Linked DNA regions of Diceros bicornis minor. Each later gene encodes a partner of the first gene's protein in a complex. Links are inferred from orthologs where the notes say so. Each region holds a gene or a part of one and is shown on either strand. Other genes may lie near its edges.

The links.
Region 2: LAMTOR5 (region 1) and LAMTOR3 share a complex: the UniProt entries of both Homo sapiens proteins name them as parts of the ragulator complex. The link is inferred for Diceros bicornis minor from reciprocal best matches to the Homo sapiens genes LAMTOR5 and LAMTOR3.

What each region holds. Positions count from the first base shown.
Region 1 is NC_080743.1:43,420,919-43,432,471, forward strand, and holds LAMTOR5 (ragulator complex protein LAMTOR5), read right to left. Parts: upstream 5,871-11,553; 5' UTR 5,798-5,870; coding exon 5,763-5,797; intron 4,798-5,762; coding exon 4,736-4,797; intron 2,801-4,735; coding exon 2,683-2,800; intron 1,734-2,682; coding exon 1,673-1,733; 3' UTR 1,396-1,672; downstream 1-1,395. UniProt on the Homo sapiens protein: As part of the Ragulator complex it is involved in amino acid sensing and activation of mTORC1, a signaling complex promoting cell growth in response to growth factors, energy levels, and amino acids.
Region 2 is NC_080747.1:82,607,478-82,619,973, forward strand, and holds the start of LAMTOR3 (ragulator complex protein LAMTOR3), read right to left. Parts: upstream 4,830-12,496; 5' UTR 4,737-4,829; intron 4,468-4,736; 5' UTR 4,431-4,467; coding exon 4,422-4,430; intron 1,579-4,421; coding exon 1,544-1,578; intron 1-1,543. UniProt on the Homo sapiens protein: As part of the Ragulator complex it is involved in amino acid sensing and activation of mTORC1, a signaling complex promoting cell growth in response to growth factors, energy levels, and amino acids.

The DNA.
Region 1 (11,553 bases):
TTTTTCTCCTTGAAAAAAAATGAGCACTGTCTACCTCAGATTAATCTTAAAGCTCAACCTTGACCCTCCCTTGTTCCAAATTCCATCCTTTTAACAGGGTAAGGCCTAGGATTCTTAAAAACCGGGCTTGAGGTTCCTATTCAAGTTCCTTGAGGTAGTTGCCCTACCTTCCAGCTTTTTCACCTCCTACCTCCCAGACCAAACCAAAGCATTTATTACATAAATATTCTGTTTGGTTTATCACCTGTCTTTGCCACTGCTACTCCCTCTGCCTGGAAAGGCCCAGTTCACACCACAAAACGCCTTTGCATTAGTTATGTATTCACTTATTTGGTAAGTACTTATGCAGTGTCTATTATATGCTGGGACTGCTCTAGGCGCTTGGGATACATCTGTGAATAAGACAAAGCTTCTGCCCTCAAAGCATCTATGCTAGTGGGAAAGACAGACGATAAACATATACACTACATGTTGAGTACTGCTAAGTATGGTGAAGACAACATACATGCATATCCCTTCTATCACAGTACAAGCTCAAAGGCTGGAGCCATGTCTTATTCATGTTTCCTCACATAGCACCTTATATTTGCAGATGCTTGACATTTTTGAATAAATAATAATATTCTGGAGATTTCTTAATACTGTTGAATATTAAATTGCTAAAGAGCAACAGGAGCTGCATTCAAAATCAACAAAATGAGGTCTTTTGTGCCTGCTTTTGCACCATTCTGTTGTTGAAAACTACAAGGATCGAAGAGAAGATAATGTCCTACACTTGCAAATAGTAGATATTTTTCTGGCTTAAACATACCTACTTCTGTAGTGGTCTGGGTGTTAGGAGTACAGTCATGCGTTGTTTAATGATGGGGATACGTTCAGAGAAAGGGGTCATTAGGCAATTTCGTCATTGTGGGAACATCACAGATTGTACTTACACAAACCTAGGTGGTATAGCCTACTACACACCTAGGCCATATGGAACTAATCTTATGGGACCACTGTCGTATATGTGGTCAATCATTGATTTAAACATCATTATGCGCTGCATGACTATCCATGCTCTGAACTGGAATCTAAAGTCCAAACTGTGACTCTGCTAATCCCTTAGCCTGTATACAAATGCAAAATGGGGCAAATAAGAGTACCTACAACATAGGGTTGCTAATGAGAATTAAATGAGTTCCTGGCATACAGTAAGTATTTAATGATATAAAAGGTATTATGTTATTATTATGGGGTACAAGTATACTTGATTTTTTTAAATATCCATGGACACTTCTGTGAGAATATATGTACTTCAGGAAGCTTCTGAAAGAGTAGAGAGTAGTTTGGAGCAAGGACCTGTTTTAAAAAAATTACAATTTGATAACTGAAAAAAGGAACATTTGATAAGAGTTTAACAAGCTTTCCTCCAACCAGATTTATTGAACATAACAAAATTCTATATACAAAGTGACCTGGACCTGCTGCTTCAAAACATGATCCTTTCTTAACTACTAGTCCACAGTGTCATAGAGTGTCATAACGCAGCTTAATCTAAAATTAGTAGAGAAGTGCTCAATGCACATTAAATGAATGGCCTAACTACTGAAACTTCAATAGTTCTACAAGATAATTAACACAGGTAGGATCAAGTCCCTATGACAGGCTGCTGGAGAACTGACAGGAGACGTCAAGAGGCCATTTTGTGCACTGCCACTGTGATGCCGTCATGTTTCTGGATCATAATGTTCCTGAAAGGCAAAGCGGAAGATATTCAGTAAAACGTTACACGTGAGAATCAGTGTTAAGATTAAAGATGCTGTTTGGTTTAGGACACAACTAAAAAAAATAATACTTATTTTTCTATGTATAAAAGCAATATATGAACACAACAAAACACTTGGGAAATACAGAAAAGTATAAAATAAAGAAATGAAATGAATCCTATACTCCTATCACCCAGAGACAACCACTACTACTATTTTCATTTTTCTTTTTGCTGAGGAAGAGTTGCCCTGAGCTAATATCTGTTACCAATCTTCCTCCTATTTTTTTTTTTTTGCTTGAGGAAGATTAGCCCTGAGCTAACATCGGTGCTAATCTTCTTCTATTTGGTATTTGGGTCACTGCCACAGCATAGCTGACGAGTGGTGTAGGTCCGCGCCCAAGATCCAAACCCATGAACCTGGGCTGCCAAAGCAGAGCGTGCTGAACTTAACCACTATGCCACGCACCAGCCCCAATATTTTCCTGTTTTTTTATCTGTGTGTATACTATCTATACGTTTTTTTCTCTTTTTACAAAACTGTGATCATACTGTGCCTAGTTTTGTATTCTGCTTTTTTACATTTACTATTATTCTGAGGACCCTCACTTGGAATATCTTTGGTATTTCTATTACTACAGAAGTAGTTTCTGTTCTTTGTTTAGTCTTCCTCTGTGCTATTTATTACTTTCTTTTTCTTGACAGACTGATAGTTCATGACAATTCTGACTCTTCATTTAAATGTCATTGTGGTCTGAAAGCACATTAGCTTCACAGATCAAATTTATCTGCTCCTGTGCTCCAAAGAGTGAAGATCCTCCCTCAAAGTACTTTGAATGAGGAATCACTGATGAACACAGGGCAGGCCCCTGTCAAATTTCCCAGGGATTTTCTATATAAAAAGGAAGGGAAGGGATCTGCTGACATCTACTTACCCGTTATCTGATTCTAGACACACCACAGGAATATCAGTGGGGTCCGAGGTTAGCTTAGCTGCTTGCTGGGCTAGAACAGATATCACCCCAGCATGCTCATCTGACAGGGTCCCACGACCTGGAAGACAGAGATGAGATCATGTCGCCTGATTGTCCAAAAATGAGTATAGAGCTATAGTAGTATCTCTCATTGATTATTCACAAAAGGCGGCTCAGTTCATGGTCTCTTAAGTTAGGTACTGACATGAAATGATTTTGCCCTGATACTCAGCTGGTTACATCATTGAGAAAGCCAGACAACAGTTCTTAAATCACTAAATTCATAACAGACACTCAATTTTCAAAGTCATTCCCATCACCATCTCTAAACACCTTCTCAAGCATATAAGGAAGCTGTAATTCAAGTCAATCTGAAAGTCATAAATTCATTTTACAGGAACCTTACTGAAACCAACAAGAAATTCAGAGGCAACACTGACAAACAGCAGTCAATAAGGGCAAGAGGCTTGTTGAAACTAATTAATTCCTCATAGGAAATCTGACTTCCTTTTATTGAGCTCAACCTCAAAGGATATAAAAGTCTTTACTCAGGAGTTCAGCTGTAAGATCACCTTGACAGCACATGGGAATATTCTGTGAGCAGTTATTTCCACCCGAATAAGGTGGGTGTTTTCAAATGTCAAGAGAAGTGGCTTTTTATTAATGTTTCTTTTAGCCTGTAGATAATAACTAACTCTTGGGTCCCAGGTACAAAAGTAATCATGAAGTTTACTTTACAATATTATTTCTGTCTATAAAGGCAACCCAAGCCTAACTGCCTGACATTAAGGCAGGTAAGAGCCACACCATTATGGCAGAGTCACAGATTACTATTGTTACAGAAAACATTAACTAGCCAGACCCAGTGCAGTCTTTCAGGCCTTGAAGGTTTCTTGAAAGAACTCATTTAGTTTTAGACTTCTACACTTGAACTTCAGCTTCCCAGTTGTGAGCTTGGCAAGCGCCTCAAAAAAAATCTGCCTTTTTTTTTCAACTGACTGATTTGTGTGTAAAACGTAACTGGTTACACAGATTACCTCTTTCAGTTACCCTCCCAGCTAAAATTCAGTGCTTTAAAAATTCCTGCAGCAGGAGCAAGGAGTCCTGGTTTTACTAGTTCTGAGATTAATTAGCTGAATGCTTTAGATATTTACCTTTCTGGATTTATTTCCTCATTTGTAATTGTTACCATTGATTGGGCATTATATCTGGGTGTTTTACACATATTATATAATCTTATAGTATTGTGATTAAGAGGCTTTGGAGCCAGACTCAAATCCTAGCTCAACCACTTACTAGCTGTTTGACCTGAAGCAAGTTACTCAACCTCTGTGCTTCAATTTCTTTATCCACCTCACAGGGTTGTTATGAGGATTAGACTACTTAGTATATGTAAAGCACTTAGTATGGCGCCTGGCACATAGTAAGAGCTCAATAAATATAATTCTATAATTATTATCATTATTAAACAACAACCCAATAAGAAACTGAGGCTCAGAAAGGTTCTTTTTGGTCCAAGTTCACAGTATTGGCAAATGCAAGAGCAGAGGGTTGAACCCAGGTGTGTCCAACTCGGAAGCCCCTGTTTTTACTGCCTACTCACTTAGGGTTAAATGCAGCTAGACTAAAAAATAGCACCATGCATCTTGCAGGGTGACTGTGAAAATCAGAGATAATGTATATAAAGCCTAGCAGTCCCAGCATACATTCAGTAAATGTAACTGCTGTCATTATCTGAAGTCCTTTCTAGAGCCCATTTAAAATGATTCCAACACAATTTTAGTAGCAACAACTGTGTGGCGCTAGAACTGCACAGAACACTTCCACCTTCATACACACCAACTGAAAAGTTTTAATCTAATCTTGTCATTTGGAGATAATCTCTATACTCACAAAAGTACCCGGAAAGTGGCAGGGTAACAAGAAATAAAAAAGAGAGAATAACAGCACGCTAGGCTCCCAGTCAACATCAAATGCTGTGCAATCCACCACAGGGCTGGCGTGAGATACTCACAGCCCAGATTCAGTCCTTGTGAATCTGTGCAAAGGACTCCAACGACGGATGGATTCTTCATTCTAATTCCAGGAACACAGGAGGAATGAAGCAGATGATGTGAGAAAATGAATTTAAATAATTATAACAATACATACAGGGTTTCTATGGACCAGGCAATGTTATAAGTGCTTTAAGTCAGTGTTTGTCGATCTTTTTTCATTATCACCCCCAGCCGAGAAAAATTATATTTTTCTTATAATTTATAATTTCTTATAATTTTATAATTTATAATTTATAAATTATATTTATTATAATTTATATATTTAACTTATATTAGCTAATATAAGTTAAATAGTTAAACCAATTTCTCTATGATGAGAGAAAAGACTGTGTCAGGTACTGTTGAGCTTTGGAGAGACACAGACATTGCAATTTCTAGGAGTTTGTTGCCCTCGTTAAAAATGCACGCTTTAGCATACAAACTCATTTAAAACTGTTGAAAGACTTAAGTAACACGGGTTGCGTCTTGGAGGGGAAGTGGGAAGCTGAGCGGCACTGGTGCGAGGGAGGTGTTTCCCTGTACGCCTTCTTACACTTTCCCAATTTTGGATTTTACGTAGCTATGACTCGTTTGAAAAATTTAAGGCATGTCTTTCATCTTCTTAAGCACCAAGTAATTGGTTACACAGGAAGGGGATACGTGCGTGTGTTTGTTTACATTGCAGGGCTCGACTTTGCACAAGTGGTTTCCCCTAAATTAACCCATTTCCTAACACTCCTGAAGAACAACTCTGTCCATATAATCTCAGTAACAGGACAGGCGGTTTGGGCCTTGGGCTTGGCCGCGGAGGCTCGCTCCCTCGGGAGGGTGCGGAGCCCCAACGGGATTCTAATTCCGGGTCAGCAGCCTCCCCGAGGCCCGGGGCAGGGATCACCGCCTCACCCCCCGTTCTGGGCGCCGCACGGTGTCCCCGAGTCACCCTTTGCCTCGCTCAGGTCCTCTCGCCGCGACCTCAGGACAGGCCGAGGAGGCCGTCTTACTCACGTGTCCTCCAAGTGCTGCTCCAAAGTCGCCTCCATACCGCCCACCGTCCACCCTCGCCCGGGAGCCGCAACCCGTCGCGTCCCCCTCCGCCTCAGGTCCCGAGCGCTCCTCGATCACGTGACACGAGCGGGGCGCACATTGGGACGGCGCCTCCAGAGGGACAAACTTCGCTGCGCGCCCGCCGCTTTGAATACAGGAAGACGTCGTTCCGCTTCCGCCGCCCGAGCCGGGCCGAGAGGTGTGCTGCCCGCGCTGTGACAGACAGGTGACCCGCGCCGGGATCCCCTGCGGAACCAGGCGGCGCGGGTTATGCCCCTCAGGAGAGGGGTCTGCAGCCAAGCCTCGGTGCCTCGGTTCCCGGCCTGTCACTTTGTCTCAGTGACGTAAACCTTTGGATTCCGATTCAACCGACTCCGAAACGTCGGGCCAGATCTTGTTCAGGTTTTAGAGTAGTCCGGCCGGTCAGGCAGGGTCTGATCCAGGCGGTGGGGCAGGGACAGAGAAGAGAGACACAGAACCCCGGGGAAGGGGTCCACAGGCTTGTAGGGCAAAAGACATGCACACAGGGACTAGAGGACGGGATGGAACAAGGTTAAAACCCAAGCTGGGGATCGGGAAAGTGTCGGAATTTTAACGAAGACATTGCTTCTTAGTTTGGTGAGGGCTCAGGAAATTTTGAGAAAGAAGGTGGCACTTGTAAAGACGACTGAGTAGGACTACTTAAAAATAATTTAAAAAAGTTAATTATAAACGCAGTTGTAAAAGTAAGGAAAGAAAGCCACCCATCGTCTCTGTCCAGAGATTACTATTAATCCCTTGAAGAGTATCCTTCCAGCCCATTGTTTTTGCAAATGGATAATTTTAATGTTTTTTCTTTTTTAAGCAAAATGGACACATACTGGCCATACAATTCCTGTAGCTGTCCTTTTTCACAGAATTTAGCATAAATGTCTTTCCATGTCAATAAGTATTCATTTACATCCTTTGTAATAGTTACAAAATATTCCTTATTATAGCTGTACCTTAATTGATTTAACCAACCCCTTATTAATGTGCAGTTGGGTTGATGATTTTTTTGAGAGGGAGGCTATTACAAACGCTGGGTGAATATCCTTGTAGCTAAATATCTGTGCAGTTTAAGATTTTCGTTATGATAAGTTACTAGAATGGAATCACTGGGTCAAAGGATGTGGACATTTTCAAGACCTTTGATATGTACACTTACAAACTGCCCCCCAGAAAGGTGGTACGAATTTACACTCAGATTCGTAGCATTTTGACAAAAATGGGAGTATGTCCATAGGTTCTCCCATCCCCCATAAGCCTCTACCCACTCCCTGCCCTTAAGTCCTCCTAACATCACTCTTAGATGTACGATTTCTCCAACCCTCTCACCTCCAGCTTTTACTCACAGTCTACCTTCTGGTCTGGGGCCCAGCTTTAAGGCTACTCTGGACTTGAATTCAGTCTCTCTCCATTCCCTAGCTCTAATGGTGAAACTTGCAGCTTCCTTAAAATTCCAGGCTTGAATGTTGTAATTCAGGAGTTTTGGACTCCTGCCCTAGAAAAATTGTTTATGTTAACTTAGGGATAACATGATGGGCCATTTAAATTTTAGGAAAAGCAGTTTAAAACTACCCTTAAAAGACAGCTTTAGAAAACGTGAAGAGCCAGCCTCCTTTCCGCCGGTCCTGCCCGAGGAAGCTCGACGCTGCAGTACCGCCCCCTTGTGGTCCCATGCGGTGTAAAGTTTTGCAGGGTTAGGGCTTCTCTGCTCTGGCTTTTTAACCTCCAGGGCAGTGACGTCCAGTCGAAAGATGTGTAATGTGAGCCACATCTGTAATTTTAAATGGTCTAGTAGCCACACTGAAAAAGTAAAACAGGTGAAATTAATTTAATAATATATTTTATTTATCCAAATAATATGACCAGAATATTATCAACATGTGATCGATTAAAAACAATACTGAGATATTTTACATTTTTTCCTCTGTACTAAGTCTTCAAAATCCGTTGTATATTTTACACTGACAGCACATTTCAATTCAGACTGACCATATTTCAAGGGCTCAATAGCCACGTGTGGGTGGCGGCTGCCGTATTGGCTACTGCAGCTCCAGGATACCTCTGATTCTCTCAAACCCAGATCAATGATTAAAGGATTCTCAGAGAAGCCGGTGATATCTTTTTAAACTGTAGGGAAGACCTCTGAAGGGAAAATGTGCAAGCTGGAAGAGGATGACCGCTGGCCCACATGTCCTTGCTGCACCGGAGGTGGGAGGGCAGGCTACATCACACTACCCCTGTTTCTCTGCCCTGTTGCTGTTTTGCCCCTGCCCAGATAGGTAGAGGGAGTGAGGCAGCTTATGTGAGCTGGGGACGTCCTACGGGCCGGGGTGATGGTTGGAGGAGGTGTCTGACCCCTAATTGTTTTCTACTTTCTTCAGCTTGTAGGATATTTGATGGTACTTTGGTCTCAGTTTTGTGTACTGGTAACAACTTTTAGGGTGACGGGAAAAGTCCAATGACACCCATATTAGAGTACTTGCGTCATTGTGTTGTAATTTTTTGTATGTTTACTTTTCAAGGACAGGAAGAGCATTGTCTCCATTTCTGCATCCTGACTGCTGCAGAGCACTATAGGAATCCAACTAATATTTATTGAAGAATCTCGATGGGTCTTGGGGAAAAGGACTCTGTAATGTAAAGAACCTTTAAGTCCTGAACTTTAACCACCTTTATCCTCTTCTTTCTCCTCTCCTCCATAAACAGGCTCTTTGGAAAATGAAAAGCCCAGGCAGGTCTGGCAGAGAATGCCCATGCCCACATGTCCCGACTGGGAAGTGGGAGATGAGAGGCCAGGTGGGTGGAACCAGGCCTTGTAGGTCATCTCACTGCTGTTGGCCTGAGACCCTAACCCCTCTTCCTTGACCTGTCAGGAGCTGAATCCTCCTGGGGGGTCGATTTAAGAAGTGCCACTCTGGGAGAGGGCATAGCTCTCCTCTGGGTGCAGAGGACTCTGCTACCCCAGGATGGACCCCACTGGTCACTCTTTCAAGTGCTTAGGGTCACAGGCCTGCAGTTAAATGAGCCTAAAGCTGGGCTGGGAAATGGGCCTTCACATGCCACTAGGGGGCACCAAGGCCATGGAAAACTCCACTCAGACTGCAGGATCCTAGGTGAGGGAAAGGGCCCACAAGTCTACTGAGCTGGTATAACTTGGTGAGGATAGCAGTATGCTAGGTTGGTGGCCGCGGAGTCAGACAGAGGTAGAATTGAATCCTGGCTTGGCCACTGCCTACACTTGTGACTTCTGAGCCTCAGGGGTTCATCTGTGATATGGAAGTACCATTACCTGCCTCATCAGGTTGTGGGGAGGCATTATTCCTATTTGTATGAGATATCTTATGTAAGAGGGGCTGGTACATTGTGGGAGTCAATAACTATGCTTTGCTAAATCTGAGTAAGAAAACTTGTTTTTTTCCTCAGGTTGCTTACAGTCTAGAGGAGGACACACGTGAGAAAATAACTAACAGTTCAATGAAGGTAAGAGCCAAATGATTACTACAGACCTCAGGCCATCCAGTGTTCATGCAAGAGTCAGCTCGCAGGGCTGGAGTTACACAGCTGCTCTATAAAGCTGTCTTAAATGACATAATTAAATATGTTTTCTTACACTTTTCTATGGTATAAAAATTATGAAATTTAGTGAGAAAAAAAAGTCGCCTGAAATCCTAGCCCTAAGCCTGATGACATGAATGTGAATGATCTGTATAGAATGGGATAGGATCTGGATAAGGTAGAGGTGGGGAAAGGCATGTCTCAAGGTTCACAAGAGTCTTGCCAGCTAAAGCTCTCACTCCATGCGAGCTACTGGACAGGACACCGGTGGATGGGGGCATACCCCTGCCTTCTGATAGTGGATACCACGTGAGAGCTGAGTCCTCCATCCAAAGCCTGACGCCTAATGGTCGTAATAGCAGTAATACCATTAGCAGTTCACTTACACGGAGTGACAACTGTGTGCCAGGTAACTCATGGGTCTTGTTAGTCCTCACAACCTTTTTGAAGTAACTACTGGGCCGGCCCCATGGCTTAGCGGTTAAGTGTGCGTGCTCTGCTGCTGGTGGCCCGGGTTCGGATCCCGGCGCGCACCGACTCACTGCTTCTCCGGCCGTGCTGAGGCCGCGTCCCACATACAACAACTAGAAGCACGTGCAGCTATGACATACAACTATCTACTGGGGCTTTGGGGGAAAAATAAATAAATAAATAAAATTATAAAGTAACTACTATCACTATTCCCATTTTACAGTTAAAAACACACCTGGGGCTCGGAAGATCAATACTTGCTCAAGATTACCCTCCACCCTGTAAGTGGTGAAGCCTCACCATTTACCCAACTCCTATGCTGCCTCAACTCTCACTTTATCAGTAACACAATCCTAGAAATGTGAGAGGGTTTTGGAGGCCCAGTCCAGATCTCTTATCTCTAGAGAAAAAATCTGAGGCTCAGAGAGAGGAAGTGGCTAATTTGGAACTTGACCTTCAGATTCTTAGCTTCCTATCCAGTGTTCTAACAATGTTGTGCTGCTAGAGGCTGTCTTAGAGCTTTAGTTAAACCAGTTTCAGAGACTTTCAGAAACTCTTTGTTATGGGTTCAATTGTGTCTCCCCAAAATTCATATGTTGAAGTCCTAGCCCCCAATACTTCAGAATGTGACCTTATTTGGAAATAGGGTCTTTATAGAGATAATGAAGTTAAATGAGGTCGTTAGGGTGGGCTCTAATCCAATATGACAAGTGTCCCAATATAAAGGAGAAATTTGGACACAGAGGCATAGAAGGAAGACAGTGTGAAGAGAGAGAGAGAAGATGGCCATGTACAAGCCAAAGAGAGGCACCTGGAACAGATCCCTCTCTCTCGGCCCTCAAAAGGAACCAACCTAGCTGACACCTTGATTTTGGACATTTAGCCTCCAGAACAGCAAATTTCTGTTGTTTAAGCCATTCAGTTTATGGTACTTTGTTATGACAGCTCTGGGAAACCAATGTATTCATATATCTATAAAGTTTACAAGTCAAAGTCAATGTCTGTGATTTGGCCTTAATTAACAGGAAAACTGGTTGAGAGAGTTATCTTCCCAGAAGCAGGATAGAGCAGATAATCTTTCCAGCTTGCTCCTAACCTTAATACTTGGCTAAGGTATTTTTTTTCCATTGGCTAACAGTCGTCCCATGACCCAGTTAACTGTGACTTTCTTGAGTCTGTTTTGTATCCCTGAGCCTGGTCTACAGAAGGTGCTCAGAAACTGTGTGTAGAGGGAATGAGTGGGCAAATGGGCTCCTGGCCACTTGAATCCAAGCCTCTCCAAGCATGAGTTGAACAGGGGAATAGCATACAGGCTGTCAGAGGATAGAAGTTGACATTAGGCCCTGCCTCCTAAGGTTTATAGCTGAGCCCTAATTCTGGAATACATATGCAAAATATATTTTAGATCACTCAGGGTGGGCTAAAGAAGTTCCAGTTCGGGAAGCTATTTTCCTGCTGCCTTATTAATTTTGCTGTTGAGGATAAATGAGGTGCAGACTTCCATATCCAAGTCTTCATTAGATGTCCTGTTAATGCAGCCATGATAAATGGGAATGAAGCCTTTATGAATAAAAAAGAGATCAACCCAGTATAAAAGATCATAGTCTAGGGAAAAGAAAATTTAGAGGAGCTGATAAAATACCCTATCCTTAATTGGACTGTCTGCATCACACATCAAATCAGCCTTAATGCCAAGATT
Region 2 (12,496 bases), on another chromosome or scaffold:
TTGTTTTCCTTCCCCTAAACATAAGCAACAATATGAAAGGTTTTTCTGTTTTTTTTTTTTTTTTTTTTTGGTGAGGAAGACAGGCTGAGCTAACATCCACTGCCAATCCTCCTATTTCTGCTGAGGAAGATTAGCTCTGAGCTAACATCTGTGCCCATCTTCCTCTATTTTGTATATGGGATGCCGCCACAGCATGGCTTGATGAGTGGTGCATTGGTCTGCACCCAGGATTTGAACCTCCGAATCTGTAAGCAGCCGAAGCGGAGTGTGCAAACCTAATCACTATACCACCACACTGGCCCCTGCAAGGTTTTAATGTTTAGACAAAATTTTTTAAAGGTCACAAAACAACTGTCATTTTTCCCATTGCTTACTAAAATTGCTTTGGACACTTTCAGCTTGTATGGCCATTTCTATGCCCCTGCACTACTGCACAAAGTAGGACTGCCTGTATTGGTAATCATTAGGTTGAGAACAGAATCAGCAGCTTGCCTTTGTAGTTTGCCAATACTAGGAAGAGAATAAAAATGAATTTAAGTATTGCATTAACAAGAAATCAATGGTAACAATTACTTAACACTTCAATAGTGTTTTCTTCCTGAATATAAAAGAAAAATATAGATATAATAAAACCAGAAAATAATGTCATTAATTTCTAGTGGTCTGTAATCAGAGTAAAGGCACAAGCTAACTGGCAAACCCCACCAAACAATTCAGGCAAAAATCCAGAGTGTTTTTTTCCTACCCACAGAAATAAAGTGACATCTAAAACCTTTTTAACTTCAAACAGATTTGGAGGATAAGAAATAAAAAAAGGATCTCACATCACATATTCTGCTATATTACCTCAAACGTTATTGAATTATTCTGGAATGTGAAAATGGATGTCTCAAGTTATAGTCCTCTCTCTCATGCCCTTAACTTGCAGGTATCATTTTTACAGTAAACTAAATATGAATTTTAATTCAACTAAAGTGACAGTCCTTTGAATCAGTAAAATATCTAAAAGGAACTGTGCTGTCCTCAACACAAGAGCCTAATTTATAAAATGGTGCATCAAATGGACTGTATGCAGGCAAAAGAAAGCCTTGCGATTTTTCCAAGTATGAACTGCTGTCTAAGTCTAGGATTTTCGGGTTACAAAGACTCGGCAATTAGGTCTTAAAATCAATATTAAAAGTAAAGGCAAGTTCTTAAGGTTTTTCCCTTACAATTACCCTACTTCAAAGTATAATCCAGTAAACTGCTATGATAGTATATTTGAAAGAACTCTAAAATCGGCAAGAAATCTGAGCTCTACCCCTCTGGCATTCACTAGCTGTTTAACCTTAGACAAATCACATAACTTCTCTAGGCCTCATGTTACTTACCTGCAAATTCAATGGACATCTCTTGTGCTACCTAGGGTTATGTTAGGTATTTGAAAGTGCTAAATAATAGCATAATATACACATAATATTAGTCTAAAACAGAAACAAAATACTACATAAAATCAACATATGTTATGCAGAATTTATTTAATAACAAATTAGTAATTTTTTACCTTGGTAATTTTTTATACAGGAATCGCTTTAGATCCTGAAAGAGAATATAAAAAATCAATACGCCTTGAACTGGCTCTCTAGATACTGTCCTATCCACACTCCAGGTACCTTAAGTCATCACTCACAACCTTTCTTGCTTGTGTTCTTTCTGTTTCTGATTTTGACACTTACTAGTTGTGTGACTTGGACAAGTTAACTAACCTTTTTCTCTAAGCCTCAGTTTGATTATTTGTTGAGAAGGGATAATCATAGAACATGTCACACGATTGTTTTTCAAGTTTATTGAGAAGATGCATGTAAAGTGACTTGCATATCTGGAAATGGGAAAGACAAATACAGATTAGCTGTAAAATTAGATGATAATTTTCACACTATTTTACAACCTGTTGCTATTGTTGTGTTCACTTGAGAATATATTGTAAACATCTTTCCATGTCCATAGACAGACTTTCTAACATCACTTCAATGATCCTGGGTAAGTTAATCAACTTCTCTGAAACTCAGTTTCCTCACATGACTAAAGATAAATGATAATGTGTGTCAACTGTTTAGCATGGAACCTAATTAGAACTAAAGAAATAGAAGACTATTTTATGTCTCATCTCGCTCTCTCATCTGGGGAATTTCATTGACAACCAGGTATCAATTATGAGCTCCACACAAGTAAATCAGATATTTGTCTCTAATCCCTACTATTCTCCAAATCTGAATGTTCATTTTATTTCATGTTATCCCCACCAGCTTATCTCTGCTCTCATCTTAAACACACACAAAAAACTCATTTTGTTTTATCAGAAATCCAGATTTCCTCAATCTCTTCTTGTTTCCACTAATGGCACTACTAATCCTGTTATTTGGGTTTAAAACATAGAGTAATATTTAATCCTAACCTCACGTGTTACTTTTAAAACACTTGTGAAGTCAAATGTTTTAAAACTGATCTCTTCCTTTTTTCAACTGACATTATAATTTAGGTTTATTTTATTATTTATGATTGGCACTAGCCTCCCAAACGGTATGCTGGTCTCCCGTTTCTATCCCACATAGTTCTACACAATGCTAATAATCACATTATTTTCTTTCTCTAAAGCCATAATTGCAGTGCTTCTCAACCCTGGTTATGGAAAACACTTGGGGAGCATAAAAATAAACACTGATGCCTGGGGAGGTGCTCCCCAGATGATTCCCTGTGCAGCCAAGGTTGAGAAGCAATGTTTAAATGGCTCTCCACTGTTTACTGAACTATGTACAAATTCTTTAGACATTTGAGGCTCTCTACGATAAGGTCTACAACTAACTTTACAGTCCTGCTTCTTACCACTCCCTCACACATATGCCCAGCCCCAGCCAAAGTGGACTACTCACAGGTCCCAGCTCCTCCACACACACCTTTCCCTTTCCTATCCCTCTAACTTTGCTTATGCTATTCATTCTACTAGTGACACTCACCCTCTCAATCTTACTTTTAACAAAATTGCTACTCATTATTTAAAGCTAACCTCAACCACCAAATACTCCAAATAGGCTTTCCTGATAAAGACAAACCAGATATAATTCCTCTCTCCTTTGTATTTTCACACTATAATGCATGCATATCTAAGTACTTTTTTTTAAACTTTAAAAACCCTTAAGAAGAATTATACCTTAATCATCTTTATTCCACCCACAGCCCTTATTACAGCAACCTTTGCAAGGCAGATGCTCAATAGATATTTAGTGATTTGATTCTGCCTAAAAAATAATAAGGTCTCAAAAATATAACGGGGGGGGGGGGGGCCAGCATAGTGGTTAAGTTCCCGCACTGTGCTTCAGTGGCCCAGATCCCGGGTGTGGACCGACGCACTGCTCATCAAGCCATACTGTGGCAGCAACCCATATACAAAATAGAGGAAGATGGGCACAGATGTTAGCTCAGAGCTAATCTTCCTCAGCAAAAAGAGGAGGCCTGGCAATGGATGTTAGCTCAGCGCCAATCTTCCTCACAAAAAAAAAAAATATATATATATATATATATGTATATATAATGTAAGACACCCAAAAATGGAGTGATAAGGGCATAAAAAGTTGCTAAATGTTGAAACACAACCTTGTAACCTAAAAAGAAAAATCACTTTCATATTAATGTTGAATGACTCTTTAGTGTAGTCAAGAGCATGGACTCTGGAGCCCGACTGCCTGGGTTGGTATCTTGACTCCACAACTTACTAGCTGTATAACCTGAGGCAAGTTACTTAATCTTCTGTGCCTTAGCATTTTCATCTGCAACACAAGAATAATAATAGTGCTATCTCATAAAAGTTGTTGTAAGAATTAAAGAGTATATGTTCAATGTTTAGAATACCCAGCATGTAGGCAAAATAATAACAGGATGTAAAATATAAACATAAACAGTAGTAGGAGTATTAATTCTCTGCTGTTCCTAGTAACTAGTACAATTAAATTCCCTAAACTTAGAATTTCGGTTTTATCGCTGTGCTTTTAAAGAGACATCAACTAGAAATCATCTCAAATTGCCACAATGAACCGAGAGAGACATCATGACCACTTGCTGGAAAAGAAGATTCAGAGCAGCAAACCATCGTTTAGAAATTCAAATAGTAAACATTCAGAGCCCCTCTTCCGCCCCAGAACAGGGGAGCGGGAAGAATACAATTTTCCCGATCTCAGGCACCTGAGTGTTCCTCCACCTCGACTCCAGCAGGCACTCAGGACCCCGCGAATCTATTCGTATTAGTCACTCGCTCCAGATTCCGGAGGAAATAACGAGGGGAGCGCTAAAACGACAGCAACTGCTACTTGGGAAGCGCTACCTCTGCGCGCCCGGGAGCCTCCTCCGAACGCCCACCCTCTCCTGCCCCGGGCGGGGCGTTAACTCACATCCGCCATGACGAGCCCCTTCCTCCCGCAGGGTCCAGCTCCACGCCTGGAAGAGAAGCTCCTGGTGACTCTCTGCCCACGGCAGCCTCGCCCTCCCCACCCCGGCCTAACGAGCGGGGCCGGCGCTCGGCAGCCCAGGCGGGAGGGCGCGGCTCCGGCCCGGACCAGGAAGGCCGACGGGAGTCGGAGCTCCCAGACAGCCGCCGGGACGCCGGGCGCCCCTCTCAGCCACTCCACCCTCTTCCCCCGAGACCCAGGCCCGAGGGAGAGGGCCAGGGGCCCGGCACTGGACACAGGACAAAGGGCTCCAGTTACCTGGCTTTCTAGGCTGCCCGGTCCTCTCCGCTGTCACTTCAAGAACAGCCTCAGAGACAGCTTCCTCGGAGAGCCGTCGTCACATGATTTCTGACGGCCTCTGTGCTCCAGGAAGCAGTTCCTACGCCTCCGACCCCCGGGGACCTGAGATTTCCGGTGGGCGCGGCCGCACTGGCGCCCCGCCCTCCGCGGGCTGCTGCCTGCGCCTGCGCAGACGTCGGGACGTCGGCCGTTGCATAGACGATTCTTACGAGACCGCCGGGCCCTAAAGCCCCCCGGATAATGCTTGCAAGAAGACATTTTTTGTGCGGAGAGGGTGCATAAATTTCATTAGCTTTTCAGGGCGCGTTATGTGAAAACTTCTTGTAAGTAAAACAATTTGAAGGGATGGTGTTACAAGCTGAACAGCAAGCAGCAGATTGCCGGTGATCAGAAGCCCAGGTCAATCGGTTTCTGACCCCAACTTCCTAGTCTCTGTTGGTTTTCTCCTGGGTGCCACCATGTGCTCTCACTCAAGGCTTCGTCAAGACTGGATCGAGGAGCTCTGGGCTGTGTGGCGTTCTCTCGGTTGTGTGTGCACCTCCAGCCTCCACTTTTAACACATGCAGATACTGGACAACCTTCTTTCATTGGCTCTTGACTTAGAAGGTTGTGCCTTCCAAGGACTGCCCATATTATTTTTGGTTTGGTGCCTTGCTGGTTTGCACATTTAACACAAACTTACAGTAGGTGGTAGGAAAATGAAGTCTATGGGAACTTGCTTACACTGATCTTCAGCTCCAATTCCTAAAAATAGGAGTGCAAAAGGAATTAACTCTAGCCCAGACGTGGTGAAAGAGTTGGATACTTAATTCCTAGTTCCTTAAGAGGATGAAATGGTAAACTACAAAGCTTTCAAGTGTTACAAATGACCTCCTAATCGTTACAAGTGAACTTGGCAGTTCCATGGCAACTGACATCATTGAAGATCAATTTCCTTTTTCTTATTTAAACCTTTTCATTTCTTAGCTTCTGGTACACTGCACTAGTTATTTTAGGTCCTCACCCATTCTAGTCTCCTAACTGTTTAGATAATGGCATTTAAATCTCATCTTGGATTTCTCTGCTATTTTTCTCTTTCCACTGAGAATGCGAGTCTTAAATCTGTACCTTTCATCTGAGCTCTAGGCTCACATTTTCAGCTGCTTGTTGGATGTTGGATATTTCCACATAACATGTCTTACTGTCAGCTCTAACTCAAATGCTCTAAACACTTCTCCGATAAACCTATTTCTCCTTATCTGTGTCTGCGCGGTTCCATGATTCGACTAGGCAAGTATCACGTTCGCTTTTTCCTTCTTCATGTCCTCTGTTCTTCCCTGAGGGCGATTTTTGCATCTATATTTTTTCAATTCTTCATTCAAACCATTATTCTATTCAGCAAGACTATATTAATAGCTACTTAATAACATCTAGATAAACCTTCCTAAAACAGCACACATTACTGCTGTTGAAAAAATCTTGAGTGATGTACCACTGCAGACCACGATACGGTTGAATCTTTGATCTGACACTAACTAACATCTTCTGTTTTACTTCTGAATGCATTTTTTTTTTTTGGTGAGGAAGATCAGCCCTGAGCTAACATCTGCCAATCCTTCTCTTTTTGCTGAGGAAGACCGGCCCTGGGCTAACATCCGTGCCCATCTTCCTCCACTTTATATGGGATGCCACCACAGCATGGCTTGACAAATGGTGTGTTGGTGCGCGCCCGCGATCCGGGCTGGTGAACCCCCCGGCCGTGGCAGCGGAGCGCGCACTTAACTGGTTGCACCACTGGGCCGGCCCCCTGAATGCATTCTAATGTGAATCCTATACTGCAGCCAAAGTGATTACCTCACCCTGCCATCAACATGACTTTTATTTTCTCACACTGCTTCTGGAGGTTCCTTTAATCTGAAATGTTTATTTCTCTTGTAGGGGAGGAAAAACTTCTTTCTACTCTTAGGTTCTGTGGCTGGGCCTAAGAAGTAAACTGACACAGAGAGATTAACAGAAAAACATGCAAATTTATTTAATATTTTTACGTGTACACAGGAGCCTTCAGAAAGAAAATGAAGATCCAAAGAAGCCGTTAGGCCCAAAAGCTTATGTACCTTTCTACGCAAACAACAACAGACTATGGGGATGTCACAAGACAAAGAGGCTTGGGCTAGGGGCAGTAAATTGTGGGACAGTGACTTTGAAATATATGGGGGAAACTAATGGAAGGGCTATTTTAGTAGGTTTGTTTGTACAGGTCCATTTTGGCATCAGTCCTGTCTCTGTGATAAGAATGTTCTCTGCCCGATGGAGGGAGGACACCTTTCTCACAGGAAATTTTATGACCTGCTTTTAGGTAAAAAAAAAAAAAAAAGGGAGGTCAGAGAGCCCTTCTTGTATCTGCTGTTTCTTAGAGCCTTCAGCTCAAAATAATCAATATGCCCAAGTGGCATATATTGGGGTGGCGTATTCTGAACCCCTTCACTCTCCACCTTAGCTATGTAAATCTTGTTTCCCTATAACATCTCCTCACCCGTCACATTCTCTTGAATGCTACTATCTACTACCAAGAATGACTGATAGTTGTGCATAAATATGTGTCACAGTTTTGGTTTGTTTTCCCAATGAGACCATAAGGTCTAGAAGGCTGGGTCATGTTGGAGATTTTTTCCAGTTTCTTACAATGCCTAGGTTTCTTGCACTCAGTAGGCACTCATTCAACATTTGTGGAATAAAAGTGATTAAAATAAACCATTAATTCAGGCCCTAACTACAACTTCTTATGCGCCCCACCCCTCTACCATTTGCCCCCAAGGTTAGAGGCAAATAAAACTATGAACTCTAGTAAGAACTTTTAATTTCTGGAAGTGCTACTTTTCATTTTAACAAAATTCTCAATCTTAATGACCTAAGTAGTTGACCTGGAAAATATTTTTTTTCTTCCTTTTGAGCGGCAAAAAGGGAGAGCATTGCTTGCCAAGCTCTCCAAACATCATGTCCTGAAATTGAAAGAACTAATAAGATTTCTAATTTCCGAGTGTGGTGGTTTCCAAATTATGGCATGTCAGTGGGAGAGTTCCTTAGGTACTCAGATTGATCCGTTCACTGCTTTTGGTACAGGACTAGGGGAAATACCGACTGACCTAAAAGATTATCAGCACTATGTACCAGTTCTCCAAAGTACGGAGCACCAGATGATCCCAGAGGTTCAGGAAGAAACTAGTAGAAACTGTACACACACACACACATGCACACAAAATGTTTATCTCATCATTCAAATTTCTAGTACACAGCATACTAGTACATTATATAAACATGTACATGTTAAAGTTCTTTTATTGGTTATATCAGAGCCTTTGTTTCTGCATCTCTTTAGCTTAAATTTCTCTTAGCTGTTGTATACAGCAGAGATTTCTCAATTTTTCTTTGATTCTGCTTTCCTATAAAAAAAATCTACAATCATCTGGGTTTAGGCTGGCTCCATTGTCTCTGTGAAAATTCTAGTTGGTAATCAAATTCATATGGAGAGGAGAGTCTTACTGATTCTCCAACATACAAAAACAAAAATTTTATCACTTAGACTGGCCAAGCTAGAAAATGTTTTGCTAATTTTGATTCTGGCTGTGGTTTGGGATTTGGCCCATTGGGAATACAATTGTAAGGTCATATGCAGTAACCTTCTCTTCTATACTACTTCTAAGCACACCCTGGACTCAGGCAGTCACCTCAGAAATCACTAATTCTGATCTCTGGCTTACATCCAATAGTCAAGCATTGGAATCACTCGTCAACATCTTAGCCTCCCCTACCGTCTTTCCTACCTGACAGAACTCCAAATTTGGATGAGTTAATTGAGTTGTATCTCCATGCCTATGCCTAAGCTGCTGGATTAGGCTGGAGAAAATACAACTAAACAGACTGTAAATTCTGTCACCAACCGGGGACCCATAGAAATCCTGCTTTTTCACTAGTTAGCTGACTCAGTGAAAATAATTCCTTCAAATTGTCTTCTTTCTAAGCATCTGCTTATCATTCTTTCCCCTCCCCCACTTTACATAAACTGCCTATTTCCATCAGGAAAATGCAAGCCATATAACATCTTGCCACCAACACTACAAATCTACCTGCATCTGCACCCATCCTCTGTGCATTCCTTTCTGAAAGAATGCTGGTGGCGTCTCTTAGCTAAAGGAATTCTTCTATCTTTGCAACGGCTCCTATATCCTTGGGACACATCAGGTACTTACCGCTATTCCTCTTTTCTCTATCTTTACTCTTTCACTTTCTACTTACCCCTTTCCATCAGAACAAAAAAATTAGTAAGATCTCTCATATAATAGATAGTAAAGTCTCATGTAATAAATAACAACTGAAAAAATAAAAGCTTTCTTTAGCAACCACCATACTCTTCTAGCCCCCATCCTTTTTCTCTACTCCGTTTCACAGCCAAATTTTTGGAAAGTTTTTAATATTCCTGCTCTGGTCCAAGCCATGATCACCTATCCTTTGACAATAACTTCCTATCCTTCCTACATTTACTTTTGCCCTTCAGTCTTCTCCACACAGCAACTAAAACGATATTTTAAAAACTCAAATCTCATCATGTAACTCCTCCTCAAAAATCTCAAAGGTTTTCTATTGACTTAGGATAAAGTCCAATTATCGTCATAATGGTTTATATATGGTCTATGGGATCTGGCCCCTATCTTATTTTAATTCTCTAACTTACCTTGGCTTCCTTATGCCATAATCAAACAAGTTTGTTTTCACTTTCATAAAGTTTCAATGACTTTGTGAACTTCGCACATTGCCTGAAATATTTCTCTAGCATTCACCTCACTCCTACTTACCTCATCTTTTGGGTTTCAGCTTTAGCTCACTTTTTCAGAGAAACCTTCCCTGATGCCCCCAGAGTAGGTTAAGTCTTCTAAATACATCCTTTCATTGCACCTTGTAATATTCTTTGTAGCATCCATCATAATCATAGTTAGTTATTTACTTGACATTTATTTTCCTCGCTACATGTGAACCTCATGAGGATTTCTGTCTTGTTCGGTGGTGAATTCCCAGCACTCTGCTCACCACCTGGGATAGAGCAGGCATTCATACATTGGTTGAATGGTTGAATGAATGAAAAAAAAAGGGCATATTAAGAATATAAAACATGACAAAAACAAATCCTTTACAGTGAGAACACACCTTCTTTTTATTCATATATTGAGATAAACTGCAGAGACTGAAAGACACAAATTCATCATAAATCATTCAGAAGAACATTCATGAAAAATCAAATGCATTTTTTAACAGAGTTCTCACACAGAAACTTTTATTTTATATAAGTCTGATATAACACTAAATATTTTACAAATCAGACATTTCATTTTTAAATCTAATTGTATAATCTTAAATGCACTATAGACAAATAAAGTAAAGAGCTCCTTTACCAGTTTCACTCATTTGACTTATACAAGGCTTCCATTAAAATTCTATCACACCTTGAAAATTACCTGCAGCTTTTAAAAACACATGATTTAGGGCCGGCCCCGTGGCTTAGCGGTTAAGTGCGCGCGCTCCGCTGCTGGCGGCCCGGGTTCGGATCCCGGGCGCACACCGACGTACCGCTTCTCCAGCCATGCTGAGGCCGCGTCCCACATACAGCAACTAGAAGGATGTGCAACTATGACATACAACTATCTACTGGGGCTTTGGGGGAAAAATAAATAAATAAATAAAATTATTAAAAAAAAAAAACACGATTTAAACTTTAAATGGAAAAAAAATTTATGTAGCAATCCAGAAAAACAAAGACAAAACAAAAATAGGTAAGAAGCATTTCTTAATACAAATAAATCACAAAATATCATTTACGTGTGATTTTCCTTCTTCTCATTGGTACCACCATCCAACTCAAAAACAATTCATTTTGAAACTGATGCTTAAAATATTCCAATGTCACTGAAAAATCTCTATTACTTAAGTGGTGCTATTAAATGGCAAAGTAGAATGTCAGATTGGAATGTACCAACTCCTGTGCTGAAGTGAATGAGACTTATTCACATTCATGCCAAGTGTCATCTACTATGCAGTTATTAGACAGCTCAGCAACCAGTAATCCCAATTTTTAATAATAACTTACTAAACTAAGACATTTCAAGAAACAGTTCTTACCCCTACACATTTCCAGATTGCTATAGAAAGATACACTTATAGTTGAAGTATAGGCTCTATAATAGGAATCTGTTTTAAAATATGAAAAAGATTAACAGAAAGAATTCACATCAATGAAATTCTGTGGACTGATTTTTAAAGTCAGAAATCAGAATATCCACCACTAATGGAAGCCCTGCTCTGTGCAAACATAGTGTGGTATATATTAAACAATCACGCATTTGAGGTATTAGCTGGAAAAAAAATATAGATATATATACACCTATACACGGACACATCCACAGAATATTCACAAATCTATTGGCCCCAAAACCAGCAGATAATAAAATTAAATGAAAAAGAATCACGTACCAACAGGAAAAAGTTACACACAGGGAATTTATAAAAAAATGTGGTTGCATGTAATCCTTAATTTAAGGAGTATGTTTTGAATTAACGTTTTGAGGGAGAATGTTTCCATTTATATGAAAGTGTCTGTTTAATAGTAGTAAAACCAAAAAGGAAGCCTGAATTCTAGGACTGTGTTGCCCGCCAGATTATTAAAGGGATATGCAAGAATTCCTTGAAGATCCTCATTCTACTCACTTTTTCTTTGTAATTAAAAAAAAATAATTTTAAATTTTGGAAGTTATTGTTGGAATACTCTTCTTTTTCATTGGTTTATAGAAAATTTTAGATTTTAACTAGGCAGTAGTCCAATGTGGCCAATAGATAAGGATTTTCAGCTATTTGGTAAAGATTAAAATTTAGATTTATTGTTCAGAAGTTTTTCTGTTCAGATAAGAAAAAGGATTATGACTGCCTTTTCAGTTTGCCTCACTCCATACGAAGACAGAGAGTAATATGAGTAGTATTACACCTGAGCTTCATATGGGGAAGCTAAAGGAATGCACAAATCCTCCTTCTGAACCATCTGGTCTCTTGACATAACACTTAACTGGAAAGATGGCTCATTTGGTCCTCAGGCCAATGTCAAGAAATATTCACTGCCTTAACACAGGTGGGAGATTTATTTTTTTAATGAAATATGTAGGAATACACTATTAAGTAATATTAACATGTCACATTTGTTAAATAACAGCTGCATTTAAAAATATTACTGATCAACAAAGGGAAATCAAGAGGTTAATCATGTCTCTCAGTAACTATTTTACATACTAGTGTAACTGAAGATTTAACAAGAAGAAAACTTAAGCATAAAAGTGCAATTAAATAAAGGGCTAGAATTCCACATTCCTGTTCCTGTGAACACCTGAACTGACACAAAAGCAGACTGGCTTAATGCACTGGCATATATATGCCTTAAGGACTTACTTTTCTCTACCAAATCTTTCTAAGTCATAAATAAGAATGTAATGATTATGAAACAAATAACTATTTAAGACTCAAATGCAATCTGTTCTCAAAATATATTGTTTTCACTTATTAAATGGATTATAACTTGAAATTTCTCACTGTTGAGAATTAAATTCTCACATTTGATCAAAATAAATTCTGAAACTTACAAATGATTAGCACCAGTCTATTTGGGAACTAAGGAAACAAAAGACAAGGAGAAAAGGTACTATTTA